Lonchura striata: one gene and its partners. The protein of the gene in region 3 interacts with the protein of the main gene of each other region in a pairwise test. Links are inferred from orthologs where the notes say so. Each region holds a gene or a part of one and is shown on either strand. Other genes may lie near its edges.

The links. The genes of interacting proteins can lie anywhere in the genome.
Region 1: the proteins of EDC3 (region 3) and DCP1A interact in binary tests that used the Homo sapiens proteins (3 or more experiments, as listed by UniProt). The two-hybrid records come from large-scale screens. The link is inferred for Lonchura striata from reciprocal best matches to the Homo sapiens genes EDC3 and DCP1A.
Region 2: the proteins of EDC3 (region 3) and ANXA10 interact in binary tests that used the Homo sapiens proteins (3 or more experiments, as listed by UniProt). The link is inferred for Lonchura striata from reciprocal best matches to the Homo sapiens genes EDC3 and ANXA10.

The regions. Positions count from the first base shown.
Region 1 is NC_134614.1:10,596,361-10,603,323, forward strand, and holds the start of DCP1A (mRNA-decapping enzyme 1A), read right to left. Parts: upstream 3,013-6,963; 5' UTR 2,976-3,012; coding exon 2,841-2,975; intron 1,949-2,840; coding exon 1,908-1,948; intron 107-1,907; coding exon 1-106. UniProt on the Homo sapiens protein: Necessary for the degradation of mRNAs, both in normal mRNA turnover and in nonsense-mediated mRNA decay. Removes the 7-methyl guanine cap structure from mRNA molecules, yielding a 5'-phosphorylated mRNA fragment and 7m-GDP.
Region 2 is NC_134606.1:37,811,892-37,819,214, forward strand, and holds the start of ANXA10 (annexin A10), read right to left. Parts: upstream 3,013-7,323; coding exon 2,995-3,012; intron 1-2,994.
Region 3 is NC_134613.1:5,971,845-5,978,924, reverse strand, and holds the start of EDC3 (enhancer of mRNA-decapping protein 3), read right to left. Parts: upstream 3,012-7,080; 5' UTR 2,939-3,011; intron 1-2,938. UniProt on the Homo sapiens protein: Binds single-stranded RNA. Involved in the process of mRNA degradation and in the positive regulation of mRNA decapping. May play a role in spermiogenesis and oogenesis.

The DNA of each region.
Region 1 (6,963 bases), on a different chromosome or scaffold from region 3:
AAAAGGTTCATGGAGCTGAAACTCCAAATCTTTATTTACTGGCTCAACCAGGTTGTGCATATTCAGTCGATTCACTATTGTAAAACCATGGTAAGGAGAAGCTGACCTATTGTGTCAAGGAAAACAAAACCAAGGATTAATATCTTCATTAACGAAAATAATTTTCTGATACCAAGTTATGAATTTATCTTCACATTTCCATTGCTTTCTTACATGAAGTTTTAGCAGTCCTGCAGCTCTCACAGTTGTTTTTCTATGCCATTTCTTGGCACACCACCTAATTTCAATTTCAAACTAAACTGCATTTACCTCAAAGCAGGATTAGGATTAACATTACAATTCTACACTGTTACACTGCTGAATCAAAGATATGCCTCGGAAAAATCTATTAAAAAAAACTAGGGCAGGTCCACTATTAAAATGCAAATTTATTCAATACTTGATATAAGATTGTTTTGAGGCATTTCAGAATTTTTTAATTAGAGGACAAAAACCAAACCATTTACACAGCATCATTACCTTATTGTAAATAGACATGACAATAAAAAAAAGAACTGCTATCTTTTAAATAGCATGAAGTACACTTACAGGGGGAACCATAAACAGTAATTTATTCCTAAAGGGAGACTCTGCAAATAAAGACTTAAGCCAGTATCCTGAAAGTAAATTATTCAGAATTGTATTGCTCAGTGAAACAATTTTTATTTATCTAGATTTTTTCTGAACACCAAGTAAAAAAAGAAAACACTGAGCAAGCATTGAAAGTTCAAGATAGTTTTAGATCTGTTTTTTCTTGCTGCATGAATGTCCTGTCAGCACTGAACTGTGCCTGTAAAATGTTGTATAATCAACAACAACGAAGGTAGGCTAAAAATCAGACACAATAAGCTGGTAAATGTAAAGATTTCTGTAACAGCGTGGCCACCTTTACCTAATGATTGACACCAAAAATCTCTCAAGAGTTTCCAAGGACAGGGTAAACAACCATTACCATCACAAGTGAGTCCCTTAATGCACCTCGCAGAACTTGTTTGAAATCATCAGCTAGTGACACAAAGCTTTTGCTTTGGTTTTTGATTTTATTTTTTTTTAAGTTTGGTTAATACTTTCTTACACTGCGTATTTCCAAGCTGGGAGCTGAAGTAAAGGAACTGTGACTCAAATCCCTACACAGTACTGAGATAAAATATTGTAACAACCAAACTATGACAGTCTGCCTCAGGATGGCTTAAGTCTGCATTATTTCTATTTCTTACCTTCAACAAAGTGTTATTTAATTTAGATTTTTTAATTTGCCTATAATTTAAGACTTGAACTTATGATTGATATTATGTGTTGGTTCTCCTCAGTCCTTTTACCTGTCCTAGAGAGCTGGAAATTTCTTCCATGATTTTGAGAGGAAATCAGACAACTCCCAAAACCAGACATTACAAGATCTCCAGCTTTTGGGCAACTCCATCCATTTACAAAAATTTATTATATATTCCATTAGTAATTTAAAACACATTATTTAATTTCTCATGTCTATCGTTTTCATAATCAGCTTCATGGATGTTAGGAGACAGAGGGAGACTTGGCATTAAACAAACTCAATGCACTAACAAATGCTATTGGATTAATAAAATAAGCTCAATAAACTAGTTTTTGATGTGGGTACATATGTAGCATTCAAGTTTTACACTTTCTTAGCAATACTTTTAGGGGCTTTTAACAGAGTTATTCACCCATGTGCAGAATTTATTCTTCTTGAATGACTACACAGCAGTTAACAGCTGGACAAGCAAAAAATGATGAGTATGAAAGCTCTGTAGGAAGCCATCTGGAGCTTGTTTTCTTAAGGAAAGAAAACAAATATCGCCACTACTCTATACCCCCTCCCCCAAAAAACCAACCCAAAGTAACCTTACCTTTTATACACAAATAAGGTCCCTTCTATGTCAGTTTTTTCCTACAAAAGATAACAAAAGCACTTCAGGGATGTGCTTGTTCACACAGGTAGGTTTTGTACAGTGTTTTAATTACAGACTTACAATATCCATATCTTTCCATAAGGTTTGACATCACAGGACAAAAATTATGCTCCCTTATTTTCATAACTTTCCAAATTTTTTAATTAGAAGAATTAGGACGTTAAACCTACTTCCAAAACACTTTGCTCACTCTCTCTATTTGCCGACGTGATACACACACATTGTTCCACAACCTTCCCCTGCTGAGCAGACTCCAAATATCCGAGAGGTTGTGTTCCAGTTCTACTCCAAGGACAGCCACAACAGCACAGCACGGTAGCACCGTGGGCATGGCTCTGTGGCAGACTCCAGCTCCCAGAGCAACCCTCAGCACGGGCGTGTCGAGGAAAGCTGCTCCAGCTCCAGGGCTGCACGGGCAGTTCCCCATATTCCCATTTTTATGGCTCTGCGATGAACCCGGCGGTCAAGCCAAAACTGTGCTTTAATGCAATCTTAAATTCCTCTCTTCCCGAATTAGGGCTCTGTGCAACAGGCGCGAGCAACAACAACAAAGTACCTTTAAAAACGAGAAAAGTCAATGGCCAGCAGCAGCCAAGGCGCGCTCCAGCCCCGGCGCTGCCCCGGCCCGAGGGGGAGCGGCGCCGCCTCCCCGAGCGCACGCACGGCCTCGCCTCTCCCTCTTCCTCCTTCTCCTCCTCTTCCTCTCCCTCTCGCCTGCTCTCTCCGTCTCCCTCTCGCTCCTCTCCCCCATTACAGGAGGGGGGAACGCGCCCAAACCCCGAACTCCCCTGGGTTCGGCCCCGCGCGGGCGCGCCGGGCCCGGCGGCTGCCGGGGCGCGGGCACGGCCGGGCCCGCCCCGCCGGACTCACCCACTCGTTGTCCTTGGGGCTGAAGCTGTAGAGCGCGACCTGGCCGGTCACGTCGGCGATGCCGGTGATGAAGGGGTCGTGCCGCCGCAGGGCCGCCAGGCTCATCTCCTGCCCCGCTCTGCCCGCCGCCTCCATCTTGGATCCGGGCAGCCCCGCCCGCGGAACGGCGACAGCCGCGCCGGTGCAGCGGCGTGCCCGGCCCCGCCGCCGGCCGGAGCGCGCGGCCCGCGCCTGAGGTTCCGCCCGCCGGCCTGGGCCCACGCCCCGCCCCGCCGGGCCCTTCCCGGGGCCTGTTCTCACCTCGGGCCCGCGGCCCCTTCCCGGCCCCTTCCCGGGCTCCTCTCCTCACCGCGGGACCGCGGCCCCTGCCCGGGCCCTGTTCTCACCTCGGGCCCGCGGCCCGTTCCCGGGCGCCGCTCCCCGCTCGCAGCGCCGGGCACTGAGCGCTCGCAGGGCCGTGGGCCTTGGGCAGGGCTGCGGGCTGGCCCTCGCATCTTGTTTTTATTTATTTACCCCATTAGTGATCCGCAGGCTCCGGAGCTTACTGCAGGCTGCCCTGTGAAGCGCGATGAGCTGGCTCACAGGCTCAGGAGGGTGGATGCTCTTTGCTCCCGTGTCCGTCATTTTCTGGTATATCAGTATTTCACGGTCTGCAGTGGGATATGGAATTCTCAATATTTTAGAAGAATTTGGGGATTAAGTATTTCTGTCAGGTGTAGTAAACATCCACACATACGTTTCTCAGGTAAAGTGAAGGTGCATAGGGCGCTAAACTGCCCTATGTAAAGTGGAGTGCTGTGTAGTACATATCTACATTTGCTGAAACAAGAACAAAGTAATATGCAGTGTACTGAGATTTTTTTCCTGCAGCTTTTTCAATTACTGGTGATTTTAGGAACAGGAAAGTGTAGTATATTCATCAGGACCAAGGCATAAATTATGTCCAAGATAAGATCACTTAGGTTCAAGTACCTTTGTAGCATTTTTTGCAATCTGACATGGAATAAACAGGTTTGTATATTTCTAAACAAAATCTTGTCTGTGGCAGGCTCCTGACCCTGAGTATTTCAAGAATATGTGCTATGCTCTGTATTACCACAAGTCAAGTTTTTTTGTTGCAGGTGGACAAACTTCTGATACAAACTTTTAATAGAGCTTTACAGGATAGTCCTCTCCTATGATGGCTGACATTTATTGCATTGCATTAACCATAAACAAGGATCCAGCAGTTGTGTGGTTCCACAAAAGTCTATCTGATAAGAAGTGGAAATACCAAGTTCTAGTGTAATTTTTTTAAACTGTAAAGCTTTTGGGACAAAACAATAATGTGCCTATTTTGGTGTCAAACAGTTACAGTGTAAAGTGAAAATGCATTTATTAGGGAAAAAGTAATCTAGACAGAAAACTTCATCCCACTAACTCACCCTTGAACCCCAGGGCATAAACATCAGTAAAAAACTCAACAAAAGTCATATGGAATGTCTTGGAGCTCCATAAATTGTCCATGTCTTTCTAATGGTTTCACCATAGAAGAGCCTAATCCATAAAATTTGGGTTTTCCCTAGTTCTGTAGTGTTTGCTCTTAAAGGCAATACTTTGATGTAAAATTTCTCATTATTCACTAACAGTTTATATTAGAGAAAGATGCTAAGAAGAAATTAAACTTTGAAATCTATTTTATACAGCAACCACATTCTAAGAACTCAAATAGAAGGAAAATGACAAAAACTTTTTTAAAAAACTGGTTCCAAATGGTATCTTAAACGTCTGCATCAATCTGCCCCCTTCTGCAAGATTACTGTAAAGAAAAGCTATCTTTCAAATTTAAAAACTTATTGGCAAAGGAAATTTTGTGCTGTTTGAGATCTCAGTTGTGAAAAACTCCTTGGCTTCATCTTGCATTAAAAGTGAATCACAAGGAGCAGCAAGGAAGGGAAGCAGTGGTTTCTGCTTCTGGATTGTTTTCCTCCTTCATCTGCTCATTCCAGTGCTGCATTTCAGTGAATTTATTCTCCCTGTCTTCACCGTTGCTGCGTTGGAATAAAATATTTTGGATTGGAAGTGATGCATGGCCTGTCCTCTGCCTCCTCAACCTTGCAGCACAGCAAAGTGTGTGTACAGGCAGAGTCTGGGGGTACACTGGGGAGTTGTAGCTACTCAGGCGTGTGCTGGGAGTGCTGTGTGGTGCAAATCTCCTCAAGCCTCCCCAGAGCTGTGCTGGGGAAATGTTCCTCTCTCACTCCCTGCTCCTGATCCTTGCACGGAGCCAGGCACAAGCGGGATGATGCACACGGTGCCCACACGGTTGTAAATGCAGGCAAACCCAATGGGAAGAAATGATGATGTCTGACTCAATTCAGAAGGCTGAATGATTTCTTTACTATAACTATGCTAAAATACATTAATATACTATATAAATGAAGATACTAAAACTACATACTACTTTCTCTAACTCAGTTCGTGACCCTCTCTCTCAAGTCCAGCCCCAGGTGGGTTGGATTGGCCATCAGGCTCAAACAATCCTCACCAGAATCCAACCAAGCATTCATTCCAGGTGAACAATTCTCCAAACACATTCCACATGGGAAAAACAAGGAGCAGAAATAGAAATTGTTTTCTCTTTCATTTCTCTCTGTGCACGTCTATGAAAAATCCTGAGAGAGGGAGAAATGTGCTGTCACAGTGTTCTTTTCATGTTTTCTCTGTGAGTGGGACAGATTCCATTTGTGTTTCAACAAGTGAAGGGAGCATTGTGTTTTATAGTTCACTTATACTGCTGAGGTTTTTTAGAAGAGGATATATTAATTTATTACCCTACTTAATCTGTGTTAATATTAAGGCAGATGAAGTAATAAAGACCCTCTTTTTTGTTTGCTTTTGACACCATGGCTGAGTCTCTGTTGCTCTGCTGTTGGCAGTTCTGTTATACAAACTCTTTTTCTGGCCCCTCTTTTTGCACAGTAGATTACTCATGTGTTCCCAAAGCTTATTTGGGCTGCAGTTACTCCTTTAAACTTCCTACAGAAAAGTTCTTCAGTCCTTTTCTTTTTCCCTTGTTGGCTGAATATCCTCAGCAAAAGATTATTGCTGCTGTTCAGATGAGGGAGAAGTGCAGCCAGTGCTCCCAGTCAGTGCATTTCCTGTTATTACTCCTGGCTGAATTAGGGTCCAGGGAGTCTTGCAAATCTGAGTGACTCACAGAGCTTGTATTTTTTCTTTACAGTTTTCTATTCAAAACAATTGCCAGAAATTCCTGGTTTCATGAACTGTTTTGCAAATGACACACTTCTGTTGGTTTGTTTGCAGATGTTTTCCTTGTTTTGTAATGGGAGGCAATTTCTGGGCTATTGATTGATAATTGCATTGTTATCTAAACCCTAAATTTCAGGATAATGGCTGTAATTCTACAAACTGTTTATTTGGGCTTAGTTCTAGATAGGACAAAAGGTCCTGGTCATAACTTCCTTAATAACTTAATGAACTTTTATTTTGCATTTTATTGCTTAAAAAAAAACCCAAGGGGAAGGGGATGCTAGAATTTTTGAAGTGCTGACATTTTATTTGAAAAACCTTTTTATTTCACAGGTGGCATTACTTGAGCATTTTCCTCATTTGTATAAATATGGTATAAACTGCTCAGGTTCTATAGTTACCTTCCCTGGCAGTTATTCTGCCCTTTGGAGGACCATGTGGATCAGCAGCCTTTTCTAGGAGCTCCAGCTTGCACTGTGCTCTCTCTGCACTAATGCTGCAGCCACAGGTACCTTACTGCATATTCATGGTGACAAATCCTTGCTTTCAGTTGTGCAAAATCTTCTTCCTCTTTCAGAGGAAAGTTTTCCAAATTGCTACATATTAACAGTAGAAGGGCAGCAGTGTTAATCCAAACAATTAAATTTGGTGGGATGGAATGGTGTGTAAAGGGACTGCAGGTTTGGCAGGATCATCACATGGAAGTGACAAGCTTTAGGAAGATTGTTATGGGACTAGTGATTTACCCAGCTTTAGGTAGGGGATTTTTTCCTGTTTCCATGCTCTGTATAAAACAGATCTAACACAGAACTATTTTGCATAGTTTCTGAGTTTCCCAGCTGTTGCAATACTGAAATGTGAATTTAACTAG
Region 2 (7,323 bases), on a different chromosome or scaffold from region 3:
TGGAATGAATCAAAACAACTAAAGACTGGAAAGGGTCTGAAATTTATAATGGTTCTGAAAAATGATACTTGGAATTTACCTTCTGTGTAAAAGCAAGAAAGTAACAGCTTTTTCTGACCAAAGTCATAAGGAGTTCAACAAAAGTATCAGTAAAAGGTGAGGCTGCTTTTATTAAATTATGATGTGCAAACTTCAGGCAATTCAGTCTTGTGATGGAAAAGCATTCTGAAGTACAAACAACCTTCTAATATTTGTTCAGCAAGTCATTCTGCTGATAACAAACAATTGAAGTCAGACTCCTTAGTCTGAATATTTCCCATAGGGAATGTCTACTAAAATAAAATGTTTTTTTTTATTAGCTAACCACATGCTATGAGCTAGCTATACTTTTGCAAAGATATCATTTGAGTGCAACATTATTAAATAAAAATTTCATGAGTATTTCGGTTTGTTGTGAGTTTCTTGTGTGTTTCATTTATTTTCAATAATATGTGATACAGTAGTGGAAGGGATACTTCTAAACATAGAAAATTCATTCTCCAAAGCCTTCTGTCTCTCTCTGTTTATGTATTTCAGAAAGGTCATAGATATAATCTAATTTCTTATAGTTTTACCTGTGGTATTTACTATAGGGTGTTTTTTGATGATGCTGGTTTGTTAGCTGGTTTGCTGCTGCTGTCTGCAGCAGCAGGACTGCTGCTGTCAACAGTTTGTACATCTACTTCTTGCTCTTGAAGGACTCCATCCTATCTGATTGTTCACAGAAAATGTATGCAATTTCTGATATGGGTAGCATAAAATATAAAGATAATTTTAAAGAACAAAGCACATTTTGAAAGTAATACTTCAGATTTTTCTATTGTGCTTCTGAATTAATGGTATACTCAATGTTCTGAAATTCTTTGAAAAATATCTAAGTCCAAAGTGTACTTCCAGGACTTTTTTGCAATCTAGAACAGTGTTTAAGAAGAGTAGAGAAGAAATTAATGCTATGGTCCCACCACTTAGTCTTGTATAAGTCCTGTTTTCTTGACTGAGACTTGCTGAAGTGATTTTTCTGCTATTTTGTTGCTGAGTCTCTTCAAAGAAATCTGCCACTGCTCCATGACCAACTTGCTCTTGAAATACCATCAGCATTCAGTGGAGAATGTTTGCATGCAGCTCTGCCTTACATGTCCCCATTCTGTCTGGATGCCTCAGTAGGGAAGTATGTTCCTAGGATCCAGTGATTTAATTCATAATTTCTCTCCCTTTCCATTTCATAACACATGGAAATTGGATTAAACAGTAAAAATTTACCTAACCTGGGAATCCACCCCAATGCATTTCAGAGAAAGCCTGTAATCAGATTTTCCTGTCTTTCCTGGGTCTGATATACTCCCCACTGTCTACAGTTGCTTCTCTGATCTCTTGTGTCTGTGATGATGAAAAAAAACAAGGGTTTATCAGTGTGCCTTTTTATGTTTAGAAGAGGGTATAAAGAGTTGATATTAAAACCATTTATTCTGAAGTATTTTGATGTAATTCAGTGTATCAGAATTAGAAACTTGTCCGCTCTGCTCAAGCAGTTCATTAGGCCAATATATAATAGTTACATTATATTAAGCCTCATACCATTGTAAACATCTGCCACAGTTAGAAATTGTCTTATCTATTAATTTGTCTTTATAATGCTATCAAACTGCTACATTGTTATTGCAAATATAATAATTGCCAATTGTAATGACTTTAAAATCACTTCCTCTGTAAGTTATTTTATAAGGGACTACCATTAATTTTAGGCAACATATTATATGCAGATGCGGTGTCAATTATTTAAATATAATTGGTTGCAATAAAACAGTAGAATAAAAGAAACTGTATTTCTTGTCTTCTCCAACAGAAACTGATCTACTACCTTTTTAAGGTATAATATTCTTTATGTTGTCCTAAAATTATCAGGAATAGATTCCAAAATCACTGTAACAAAAAGAGGGGGGAAAAAAGAAACTAGGAAGAAAATCTCTTAAGTTCTTAACTGTCTAGTAAGGGATGCAAGATCCTAATTTGTGGAAAACCAAACATATTACTAATCCTGATTCAATAGCAATAACTTTAGAAAAGCAACTATATGCTTTATATATATAATTTTATTAGAAGAAATACTTTACTGCAAAGATTGAAATAATGAGTCAATTATACATTATATTAAAATAAGAAAGGGAAAAATATTTAATTTTTAGAAAAATCCATATTGGTTTGTAAGTTTGGGAATGTACATGTAAAAAGCCTTTGAAAGGATCAAATCATTATTCATATCAGTAATAATTGAAAGAATCCTTAGAGAACATGATCAGTATGCCAGGTACCAAGAGAAATGTCATATTTTGTTGTCATGAAATAGTAACTCCAACAGTTTCTAGAATGAAGATTTAAAATTTCATTATAACCCTTTTTTTCCTCAAAAAGCACTAGCGAAGCCATAACTCTTCCTGTGTTGTGGCTCTTGTATAGATAGCATTTTTTAACTTTAAAATATTTTTCACACTATGAACAAAACAAATTTTTATAAATGATGAAGCTATTTACTTTATGCAGCTAGAGATGGTCTTGTCAAATTATAACCCCCCCAGAGTAGTGCCAGAAATAGCTATCTTCTGAAAAACTCATATTTTTATCTTTAATACGGTGATAGTATGTAATTTAGCTTCTTGTTTAGCAACTTAGTGCCAACATAGAAAACACACCTATAGGATCTCACAAGGGGGCTTAAGTTGATTTTTCTTTTTCTTGAAAGGTCTAGAATTATGAGACAGGAACTGATAATTCTTTAAATTTTAGTCTTTGTTTCAGACACTTGATATATCTAAGTAACACCAAGGTTAGACTGAAATCACAAATGAATTATCTTCACCTTATATTAATTTCTACCAGTGAAGGGAAATGGCTACCAACACATGACGACAACTTAAGAGGAATGACAATTTTGGAAGATTTCAGAGAACAAATACTTACGTAATCTCCACAATACATTTTGATATGAGTCTTCAAGTTCTGTTGAGATGGAGTAGTAGCTTCCCTAACTAAAAAAAGTAAATACAGTTATAGTAAAACCTTGTTCTGTTTTGGGGATTTGTGAGAAGCCATCCAATCAAACTGAAACCAAGTACATTAGGCTCCAAAGTAACAATGAAGCAAAACCTTGGTACCTTGTGTCCTTGGGCTTTATAGATATACTGTGTGCTTAGTCATTAACCATGCATTGAATAAGTGTGATTATAATGTAAGTAAACAGAGTCACTAGCCCAACACCCTCTGTTGTGCTGTGTTGATTTTAGGAATCAGACTTCAGCTAGTCACAGGATGAAACACTCACCTACCAAAAGTGCTTGTGTTAATAATTTACTTTTCAGATTGAATCTGGTCTAGTTCCTTTTTTTCATCCTTGTGCTGAAATTGCACAGCTCATCACTTGCTCTAGTATCTGTATATTTGTATCTGGCATGCACAGAAAGATGCTTTATAGCCCTTATATATCACCCAAATAATCAGGTAGCCTTAGTGGAACTCTGTAAATAAGGATCTTTTAATGCAAGTTAGAACTTGCAAAATCCTGCAAAGAGCTGATCAAAAATCCAGTATTGTTGCTCTATCCAAGGACTTATACAGAATCCTAACTATCCAACTGACAGTAATCTCATTTTTCATAGCTAGTACCATATTTTTCTGCTTATAACTATTATTGTAATAAACCATTGATAAAACATGAAGGTTTTTCACACATACAAAAGGAATATAAAATAGAGGAACATAAAAATAGAGGTGCAGAATCATTCTGTGTATCCTCTCCTGCAACTTGAATGGAAGGTATAGGCTACTGTTATCCTGATTGAGCCCATTTTAGAGGGGTAATATTTTCCAGTAGTTGTACAGTTACAATAGCTCAGAATTAAATTACTCCAAATTTTCTTGGTTTCCTTAATGTATCTGTCACAGACTTGGGAGCACTTATTAAAACATGCATGGAGATTTTTTCCTTATAATTTAGAAAGACTTAGGAAAGAATAAAAAAAATACATTTTCTTGTAGCTGTAATACCTTAGCAGCTCTTTTAATTATTTAAAGCTTTCTCTGGATAAACCAGTATTGATTTGAGTATAAGCTTTTTCATGTCAGCCCATGTTATATGTAAAGGTGTCCTTAGAAACAGCTGGGAGATTTTCACAAAGAAACACATAAAACAGGCTTGACAGTGGTATGCCTTTACTTTCTCTTTTTTTTTTCGTTGGGACTGTGGTAGATATTTTACTTATTGTAATTGTACCAAGTACGTACTTTATCTCTGTATCTTGAGTGCCCTTTGAGGGTGGCTGGGGAATGCAGTTCCACTATAGAAGTAAGAAAAATTATCCATAAAGAATCTGGTCTGGCTGGTTAAAGGTGCTGAAGATGGTGCCCAGAGTAGGATTCAATCTCCTGATGATACATATTTTAAAACAGAATAAAAGAATATTAAGCCCATCTTTTTTACAGACTCTTAATTTTGTCTGTTTTCTTGCTGTGATTAAAATGCAATACAGTTAATCTTCAGTACAACAGAAAACAGATTGAGTTTACAGGATTACATTTCAGTCTGCATGTGCCCAAATCTTTAAGAACAATAGGGTGTAAATAAATAGTCAAAACCTTTTGTTCTATGAAATATTCAAACCTGGCATATAATGTGGTGAAAGCACTTAAAAATAGACTTTATTTCAGTAATCAATTAATGAAGCTTTCAGAAAAAAACTGTGAGAGAGTCTAGAGAAAATGGGAGAAAGGTTTCAATCTCCTTATCCCTTAGAATGTCCTTTGGCTGTGCTTTCCTGCCTTCTCTCTCCCAAGGTGGGAGGCAGGGCTTACCAACAAGGAAATGAATAACATATTTGTCCATGTAATGCTGAGCAAAATGGATCTAGTGTTTAGAGTGAGCCGCACCTTCACATTTTCTTCAAGACTCAGTAGGTCATAGGTGTGAGTTATTTCTAAGGGAGGAGCTTATCCTGTTTTAGGGGAGAGCCAAAGAAGCTGTGTTCCCAGGGGTTTTGGCAATCTCACTTTTGGGAAAAAAAAGAAAAAAAAGACTACTTGGAAATACTGCAGAAGAGAGTAGCAATAATTAATTATGTGGAAAGACAGAAAACACTTGGGTTTTTTAGACTAAAGAACAGCACAGGAGACCTTAAGAGTTGGAGAAAATAAAATATCTTGAAAGGGAAAGGGGAAAACGTTTTGAGTTCACAATGAACTGGACAGATTAAGGCCTATTTTTTTCTGTTTCACCTCTATTTAATCTCTGCAATTCTCTCACTGTTGCCAGGTAAAATTTTTGTTACTGTTCTGGGTACTTGCTTGCTTTCCTTCCTCTTTTTCCTGTTTCTTTTCTTAGTTATTCTTCTCCTCATTTTGTTACCTGTTCTTTTTTGGACAGTCTTAATTTTCTGTTGAAGCAAGAAGGGGCTGGTTCCTCTTCTTCAAGTCCCTACAACCAATGGAATTTTTAATGTGTGCTAAAGTTCTTCTCATTAATATGCTTAGGCGTAAACATTGCAACTGACAATTTCCATGTTGTTTTAATGGATACCTTGAGTAAAAATAATGAAATAAAATCAACTTTTATTAGGGATCCATCTAAAAAATATGATATATTTAAAGTGAGAAATAAATATTATTAAATAGGAAATTATTCTATTTGTTTTCCCTGAAAATTAGCTTCCAGTATATCAGTTGCATATAAATTAAAAACAAAATTCACATTATTGGTATAATAATCTTCAGGTATTGCTCTGGAGTAGTCAAATAATTGAAATGTTTGTTTAGTATTACTGCAGCTGCAAGCAGTAAATTATGGGACTTTGTGCTGCTGAGTATGTAGTTTGTGGTGAAATGAAAATCTGAATACAACTGGAACTGGTATAATTTCTAGCTCTTACCAGACCACAGAAAGTCTAAGCGTGGTACAGAGGTTAAGAAGAAGGGGTGGAAAGGTAATCTCTAACTCTAGTGTAGCACTAACAGCCTTGGGCATTTAAAAAAATGTCTCTGGGAGCTTGTGTAGAATGTGTGGAGCATGTTATTCACCATGATTAAATGAAGTGTTTGATGTCAAATACCTTAATGCAGTGAATCTGTGTAGGACTTATGACTTAAAATTTAACTCTTGCAACTCCTAAGTCTTTAGTTATATTACTTAAGGAACCTGTCAATTCCCCTTAGGGCTGCAAGGGCCAAGTTCTTCTTTCTGAGAAGAGCTCTAAGCACAATATGTGTACGCAGGAGGCAATTTGAGATGCTTTCAGAAAAGGAAATGAAATCTTGTGATTTCAATGAGGATCAATTTGGTAAGCTTTGGTCCATATCCCTTCACTTCATGGCATCCCATGCCTTTTGATGATTTTAATTTTGACAAATATTTTTAAATTTTGTTTTTCAAGTATTCATGTCATCTCATTAATATCTTCCCTTCTATGTTCTATTATCATATTTAGTTTTTTCCCCTGATTTCGCAGCATCTGTGAGGTTAGTTTTGGCATGCTTTGGTCTTTTTCCACTGCAAAACTTGTTTCATCCCAGTCCATTTGATTGTAGCCACTAAATTTCCAAATTTTCTTTTTATTTTCAATTGCATTTAATTTCTTTCCAGAGTTTGTAAGGCTTTGTTTTCTGTTTTCAAGATTTCATTTCCTTTCCTGAAAGAAAATTCTTCCTTTCAGGAATGAAATCTTGTGATTTCAATGAGGATGAATTTGGCATGCTTTGGTCCATATCGTTGCACTTCATGGCCTCCCATACCTTTTGATGGTTTTCCCTTTGGTGAAGATTTTTATTTTTTTCACTATCCATGCCATTTCATTCATATCTTCCCCTCAGTCTTCTGTCTTCATGTCTGTTTTTCTGCCCTGATATTGCAACATCTGTGAGGTTACTTTTGGCATGTTTTTGTCCTTTTCACTGCACCTCATTTCATACTAGTCCATTTCCTTATTGTCACTAAATTGCCAAATTTTCCTTTTTTTTTTTTTAATTGCATTTCATTTGATCATATCTCCTTTTTAGAGCATTTGTAAGGCTTTCTTTTCTGTTTTCAAGATTTCCTTTTGTTAAAGGAACTGTGAGGCCTATGGTGCTGTTATGCTGTGCCTTGGGAAGGTGGCTGCCAGTTCCTATTTGGGATATAGCCTTTGGCAGAAGGCTGACCACATGAGGTGATGGACTATTGAAGAAGACAGTGAGTAATGAGAGGTAGTAGTGGGTGTAGCTTTATAGGAACAGCAGAAGCAAAAGCACTTTGACTGAAAAATTCTG
Region 3 (7,080 bases):
GGCAGGAGGGGAACCCCAACCAACAGAGAAACACAAAAGGGTGAAAAAAATCCCCAAAAACTGGAATGCAGGATAAAAGCAGCAAAGGCAGCATCAGTGCCACGATTAGATAAATGAATTTTAAAATAGTTTTTCTCCTTGCACTGAAGTTCTGTCAAAACCAGGGGAGAAAAACTCCAATTTGTTTAGACAGATGTTTCCAACAGTGCTGGAAGCAGCTAAAGAGCTCCTTTGATCCCAGATTTCCCAGTGACAGGCTCACGAGCATCACGGAGAACAGGAGACATGACAAGCTCCTAAATGTGGAGATTTGCCTTTCATGCTGTAATCAAAGAGGGAGAATGTTTGATATTTACTGTGAACAGCACAAAGAAACACGGCAGACAGCCCAGGGAGAGCAACTTCCATGTATAAATCACATTTCTGGAAGAGGCAGCTGGATTCTCTGCAAGCTGAGCCTCATTGAAAAAAAAACAAGGGAAAAAAAAAAAACAACTTGGATTAGGGGGGAAAAAAAAAATCTCACTTCCCCCAACTTTCAGAGGCTGAAAAGAGGGGATGCTTCAAAGGGAAGAAAATGTGAAATTTGGTGACAAAGCCATCAATTCCTGAGGAGCAGCTCCTGTCCTTCCTGTGGCTGTGTGTTTATGTTAACCCACGGTGACAATGTCTGCATTCCAAGGAGGTGGCTGATAAAAACACTCCCAAAACACAGATAACACAGCCTTGGGGACCACAGGGAAACCAAAGCTTCCTTCCATTTCCTGCTTTCTTCTCATCTCCCTTAGGAAACACAGGAAGGAGCTCGGCACACAGCAGCACCTTACACAGACACTTCTGAAAAACAGGAGCCTCCTTTTAGCACAGAAAACCCAAAAGTAAATCTATGTTTGAGTGCAAATATAAGTTTAACTACCCTGGAGTTGGAATAGAGGGGTGGCTGTGTCGCTGTAGGAAAATATAGGGAGCCCCATGGGTAAACACAGGGATCCCAAATATTGTAAATAACATAAATATTGTAAATATTTAAAAACATGTGGAGCTACCACAGGTAAATTCAGCCAGCCCCATAGGCAAAAATAGCAGCCCCATAAGGTAAAAAGGGGAACCCCCAAAATGAAAATGGGGATACGCCATGGATAAACACAGAGAAACCCCAAAAATAAACATAGAGAACCCCAAAAATAAATACAGGGACCCCCAGCATGCATAAACACAGGGAATCCCCTGCGTGGATAAACACAGGGAACCCCCAAAAATAAACACAGGGAACCCCCAAAAATAAACACAGGGAACCCCCAAAAATAAACACAGGGAACCCCCCCAGGGATAAAGAAAGGAATCCCCCCATGGATAAACACAGGGAACCCCAAAAATAACCACGAAAGGAATCCCCCCATGGATAAACACAGGGAACCCCAAAAATAACCACGGGGAACTCTCCCAAAAATAAACACAGACACTATCCATGGATAGTTACAGGGAACCCCCAAAAATAAACACAGACCCCTTGCCATGGATAAACACATTAAACCCCCAAAAAATAAACACAGACATCCCCCCAATGGATAAACACAGACCCCACCCCCATGGATAAACACAGGGAACCACAAAAACAAACACAGGGGACCCCCCCCACACACACACACAAAAATAAACACAGGGAACCTCCCCAGGGAGAAACAAAGGAATCCCCCCATGGATAAACAAAGGGAACCCCAAAAATAACCACAGACACTTTCCATGGATAATCACAGGGAACCCACAAAAATAAACAGAGACCCCTCCCATGGATAAACATAGGGAATGCCCCAAAAATAAACAAAGGGAACTGCCAAAAAGAAACAGACACCCCCCCCACCAAGGATAAACACATGGACCCCCCCCAAAAATAAACACAGGGAAGCCTGTGATGGATAAACAGAGAACCCCCAAAAATAAATACAGGGAAACCCCCCAAGGATAAACAAAGAAACCCCCAAAAATAAACAAAGGGACCTCCAATGGATAAACACAGGGAACCCCCAATGGATAAACACAGGGACACCCAATGGATAAACACAGGGAACCCTCCCATGGATAAACACAGGGAACCCCCACTGGATAAACACAGGGAACCCTCCCATGGATAAACACAGGGAACCCCACAAATAAACACAGGGAACCCCCAAAATAAACACAGGGACCCCCAATGGATAAACCCAGGGAACCCCCAATGGATAAATACAGGGAACCCCCAATGGATAAACACAGGGAACCTCCAATGGATAAACACAGGGAACCCCCAATGGATAAACACAGGGACCTCCAATGGATAAACACAGGGACCCCCAATGGATAAACACAGGGAACCTCCAATGGATAAACACAGGGAACCCCAAAAATAAACACAGGGACCCCCAATGGATAAACACAGGGAACCCCCAATGGATAAACATAGGGAACCCCCAATGGATAAACATAGGGAACCCCCAAAATAAAGAAAGGGAACGCCCAACGGATAAACACAAGGAACCCCCATAGATAAACACCAGGACCCCCAAAAATAAACACAGAGAACCCCCACGGAATGAACACAGGGCCCGCCATGTACCCACAGCACACCCCAAAACAGAAGACCCCCCAAAAGCAAACAGACGTCCCCAGAGACAAACACAGGGCACCTCCATGGGCACACACAGAGCCCCCCCGAGCTGACCAGGTCCCCCCAAAAACACCCACAGCACCCCACAGCGGAGCGCGGCGCTTCAGCCGTGATTAACCCCTGCGGGACCAGAGCCGAGCACAGCTCCCGGCCGGGCCTGCCCCGGGCCCACCGCGGGCGAAGGGCGGGCAGGGCGTGCGGAGGAGAGCCGCGACGCCGGGCAGGCCCCGCGGCGGGCGGGTACCGCGGGGAGCACGCGGGAAGCCGCAATCCCGGAGCCGGGCCCAAACTCACCCGCACGGCCCCGCAGCCGCCGCCGCTGCCGCTGCCCCGACCGCTCCCCTCAGCGGCTGCGCCTGACGTCACTTCCGGCCACGCCCCGCGCGCGGCGCTCCGGCACCGGAAACACCATAGAGACTGCGAGGTGTGCGCATGCGCAGTGAGAGACCGCGCAGGGGCTGCGACACGTGTGTGACACCTGCGTGACACCTGTGTGACAACGTGTGACACCTGTGTGACACCTGAGTGAAACCTGTGTGTGACACCTGTGTGTGACACCTGAGTGACACCTGTGTGACACCTGTGTGTGACACCTGTGTGTGACACCTGAGTGAAACCTGTGTGTGACACCTGTGTGACACCTGTGTGTGACACCTGTGTGTGACGCCTGTGTGACACCTGTGTGACACCTGTGTGATACCTGAGTGACACCTGTGTGATACGTGTGTGACACCTGAGTGACACCTGTGTGTGACACCTGAGTGTGACACCCGAGTGACATCTGTGTGTGACACCTGTGTGTGACACTCGTGTGACACCCATGTGACACCTGTGTCTCAGGTGTGTCACCTCCGTGTCACACTCCTCTGTCACCAGTGTGTCACACCCCTGTGTCACACCCTGCTGTCACACCTATCAGACACCGGTGTCACCCCTGGGTCACCTCCCAGTGTCACAGCTGTGTCAGGCACCTTTGTCACACTCGTGGGTCACGCACGTGTCACACACCTGTCACACACCTGTGTCATACCTGTGTCACTCCCGTGTGACACACCTGTCACCTGTGTCCCTCAATCCCCTCCTTCCCACCATCCCTTCCAGCATTTCCAGCCTTTCCAACATCTCCATCGCATCATCCCCCATCATCTTCATCATCTCCATCCCTCCATCTTCATCATCTTCATCCCTCCATCTTCATCATCTCCATCCCCCCATCATCTTCATCATCTCCATCCCCCCATCATCTTCATCATCTCCATCCCTTCCATCATCTCCATCCCTCCATCATCTCCATCACACCATCCCCCCATCATCTTCATCATCTCCATCCCCCCATCATCTTCATCATCTCCATCCCTCCATCTTCATCATCTTCATCCCTCCATCTTCATCATCTCCATCCCCCCATCATCTTCATCATCTCCATCCCCCCATCATCTTCATCATCTCCATCCCTTCCATCATCTCCATCCCTCCATCATCTCCATCACACCATCCCCCCATCATCTTCATCATCTCCATCCCCCCATCATCTTCATCATCTCCATCCCTCCATCTTCATCATCTTCATCCCTCCATCTTCATCATCTTCATCCCCCCATCATCTTCATCATCTCCATCCCTTCATCATCTCCATCATCTCCATCCCTTCATCATCATCATCTCCATCCCTTCATCATCTTCATCATCTCCATCCCTCCATCTTCATCATCTCCATCCCTTCATCATCTTCATCATGTCCATCCCTCCATCTTCATCATCTTCATCCCTCCATCTTCATCATCTCCATCCCCCCATCATCTTAATCTCCATCCCTTCCATCATCTCCATCCCTCCATCATCTCCATCACACCATCCCCCCATCATCTTCATCATCTCCATCCCCCCATCATCTTTATCATCTCCATCCCTCCATCATCTTCATCATCTCCACCCCCCCATCATCTGCATCATCTCCATCCCTCCATCGTCTCCATCATATCCATCCCTCCATCGTCTCCATCATCTTCATCCCTCCATCGTCTTCATCATCTCCATCCCTTCATCATCTTCATCATCTCCATCCCTCCATCATCTCCATCCTTCCATCATCTTCATCATCTCCATCCCTTTATCATCTTCATCATCTTCATCCCCCCATCATCTCCCACCGTTCCATCATCTCCATATCACCATCCGCCCATGATCTTCGTCATCTCCATCCCTTCCATAGTCGCCATCCCTTCCATCACCTCCATCCCTCCATTACACCATTCCTCCATTTCTGGCCCTTCCATCTTCTTCATTATCTCCATCCCTCCATCCCTCCATCACACCATCTCTTCCATCATCTCCACCCCTCTATCACAGCATCTCTTCCATCATCTCCATCCCTCCATTTCCAGCCCTTCTAGCATCTCCATCACACCATCACCCCATCATCTACATCATCTCCATACCTTCCATCATCTCCATCCCTCCATCACACCATCCCTCCATCATCCCCATCACACCATCCCTTCATCATCTCTATCCTTTCCATCATCTCCATCCCTCCTTCCATCATTTCCAGCTGTTCCATCATCTCCATATCACCATCCCCCCATCATCTTCATCATCTTCATCATCTCCATCCCTTCCATCGTCTCCATCACAGCATCTCTTCCATCATCTCTATGCCTCCATAATCTCCATCACACCATCCCTCCATTTCCTGCCCTTCCATCATCTCCATCACACCATCCCCTCTATCATCTCCATCATCTCCATCCCTCCATCATCTCCATCACACCATCCCCTCTATCATCATCATCCCCATACTTTCCATCATCTGCATCCCCTCCATATGTCCATCACACCATCCCTCCATCATCTCCATCCCTCCTTCACACCATCCCTTTTATCATTTCCAGCCCTTCCATCATCTCCATCCCCTCCATATTTCCATCACACCATCCCTCAATCTTCTCCATCCCCTCCATCATCTCCATCCATCCCATCTCCTCATACCTCCACCACCTCTGTCCCCTTTTCATCCCTTCCATCCCCTCCCTCCCTGCCAAGGCTGCTCTGTTCCACACCCAAACCACCAGCAGCTCCAAGCTGCGCTGGGGCTGATCCCTGGGGGATCAACAGACCCCAACTTTCCCGAGGGAAATTCACCTTTTTTGCTTTTTTTTGTTTGTTTTTTTACGGGAAATCGTGGAAAACTTGGGATTTCATGATGCCCGGCAATGGGAACAAAACATCCCCCGTGGCTGGCTCTGACCTACTGATTCCAGGTTTTCAGGGACAGAAAGCTATTCCCAATTTTTAGTGAAGCCCTGAACTGATCCAGGGCATCACCTTCCAGAATCAGCTCCCTTTGGGATGAAAATACTGCCCAGTGCCCCTGGAGTCACAGCCCACACCCCTGTGGCAGCACGTTTCTCTCCCTCTCTGGATTTTCATAGAGGAGCACAGAGAGAAATGAAAGAGAAAACAATTTCTGTTTCTGCTCCTTGTTTTTCCCATGTGGAATGTGGTTGGAGAATTGTTTACCTGGGGTGATGCTTGGTTGGATTCTGGTGAGGATTGTTTGAGCCTGATGGCCAATCCAATCCAACTCAACCCAATCCAACCCAATCCAATCCAACACAACCCAACCCAATCCAACTCAATCCAACCCACCTGGAGCTGGACTCTCAGAGTGGGTCACAAGTTGAGTGAGAGTCAGAGAAAGTAGTTTGTAGTTTTAGTATCCTCCTTTAATAGAGTATATTAATGTATTTTAGCATAGTTATAATAAAATAATTCAGCCTTCTGAATTGAGTCAGACATCCTCATTTCTCCCCATTGGGCTCGCCTGCGTTTACAATACACCAACTCAGATTTTTAAGGATGACAGAGCAGCATAGGGTGTTCCCCCCCGCAAAAAAAAAAATTTATTTTCCAGTGGAATAAAATTCAGAAAGCGACTCAAGAGATGTTCATGTGAGTATTTATTGGGTTAGAAACGTGGTGTGGTTTCCATCCCAGCTGCATTCCAAGCGGGCACAAACAGGCAGGAATTGCTGCTGCGTTTGCCATGAGGCTTCACCTTCCCGCTGGCTAAAGCTGAGCGTGGCAAAGGCACCTCCTGCACTCCTGAAAGCCTTGCTCCTTAGCCTGCATACAGAAATCTATTGCTTGATAAAGAAAAAAACCCTGATATTAAAAAAGGCAGCAAATGCAGGGTTAGTCTGAAAGCCAGCAGTGTCCTACAGTTCCTTTTTGTCCCTTTCCCGGTCCTTTGAGATTTTCCAGGAGGCTCCATGTTAGGATTGATTTAAAATCTCAATTTGTGAGTGGCTCCGCTGGTGGATTTTTGTTTTTTCAATCAGTAGGAACACTCAGGAATTCACTCCATGAGTTCACATTCAAGGAATTTGGCTGTGTGGGTGCACCCAGGGTGGGTCCCCTCGAGGCGAGTCCTGCTG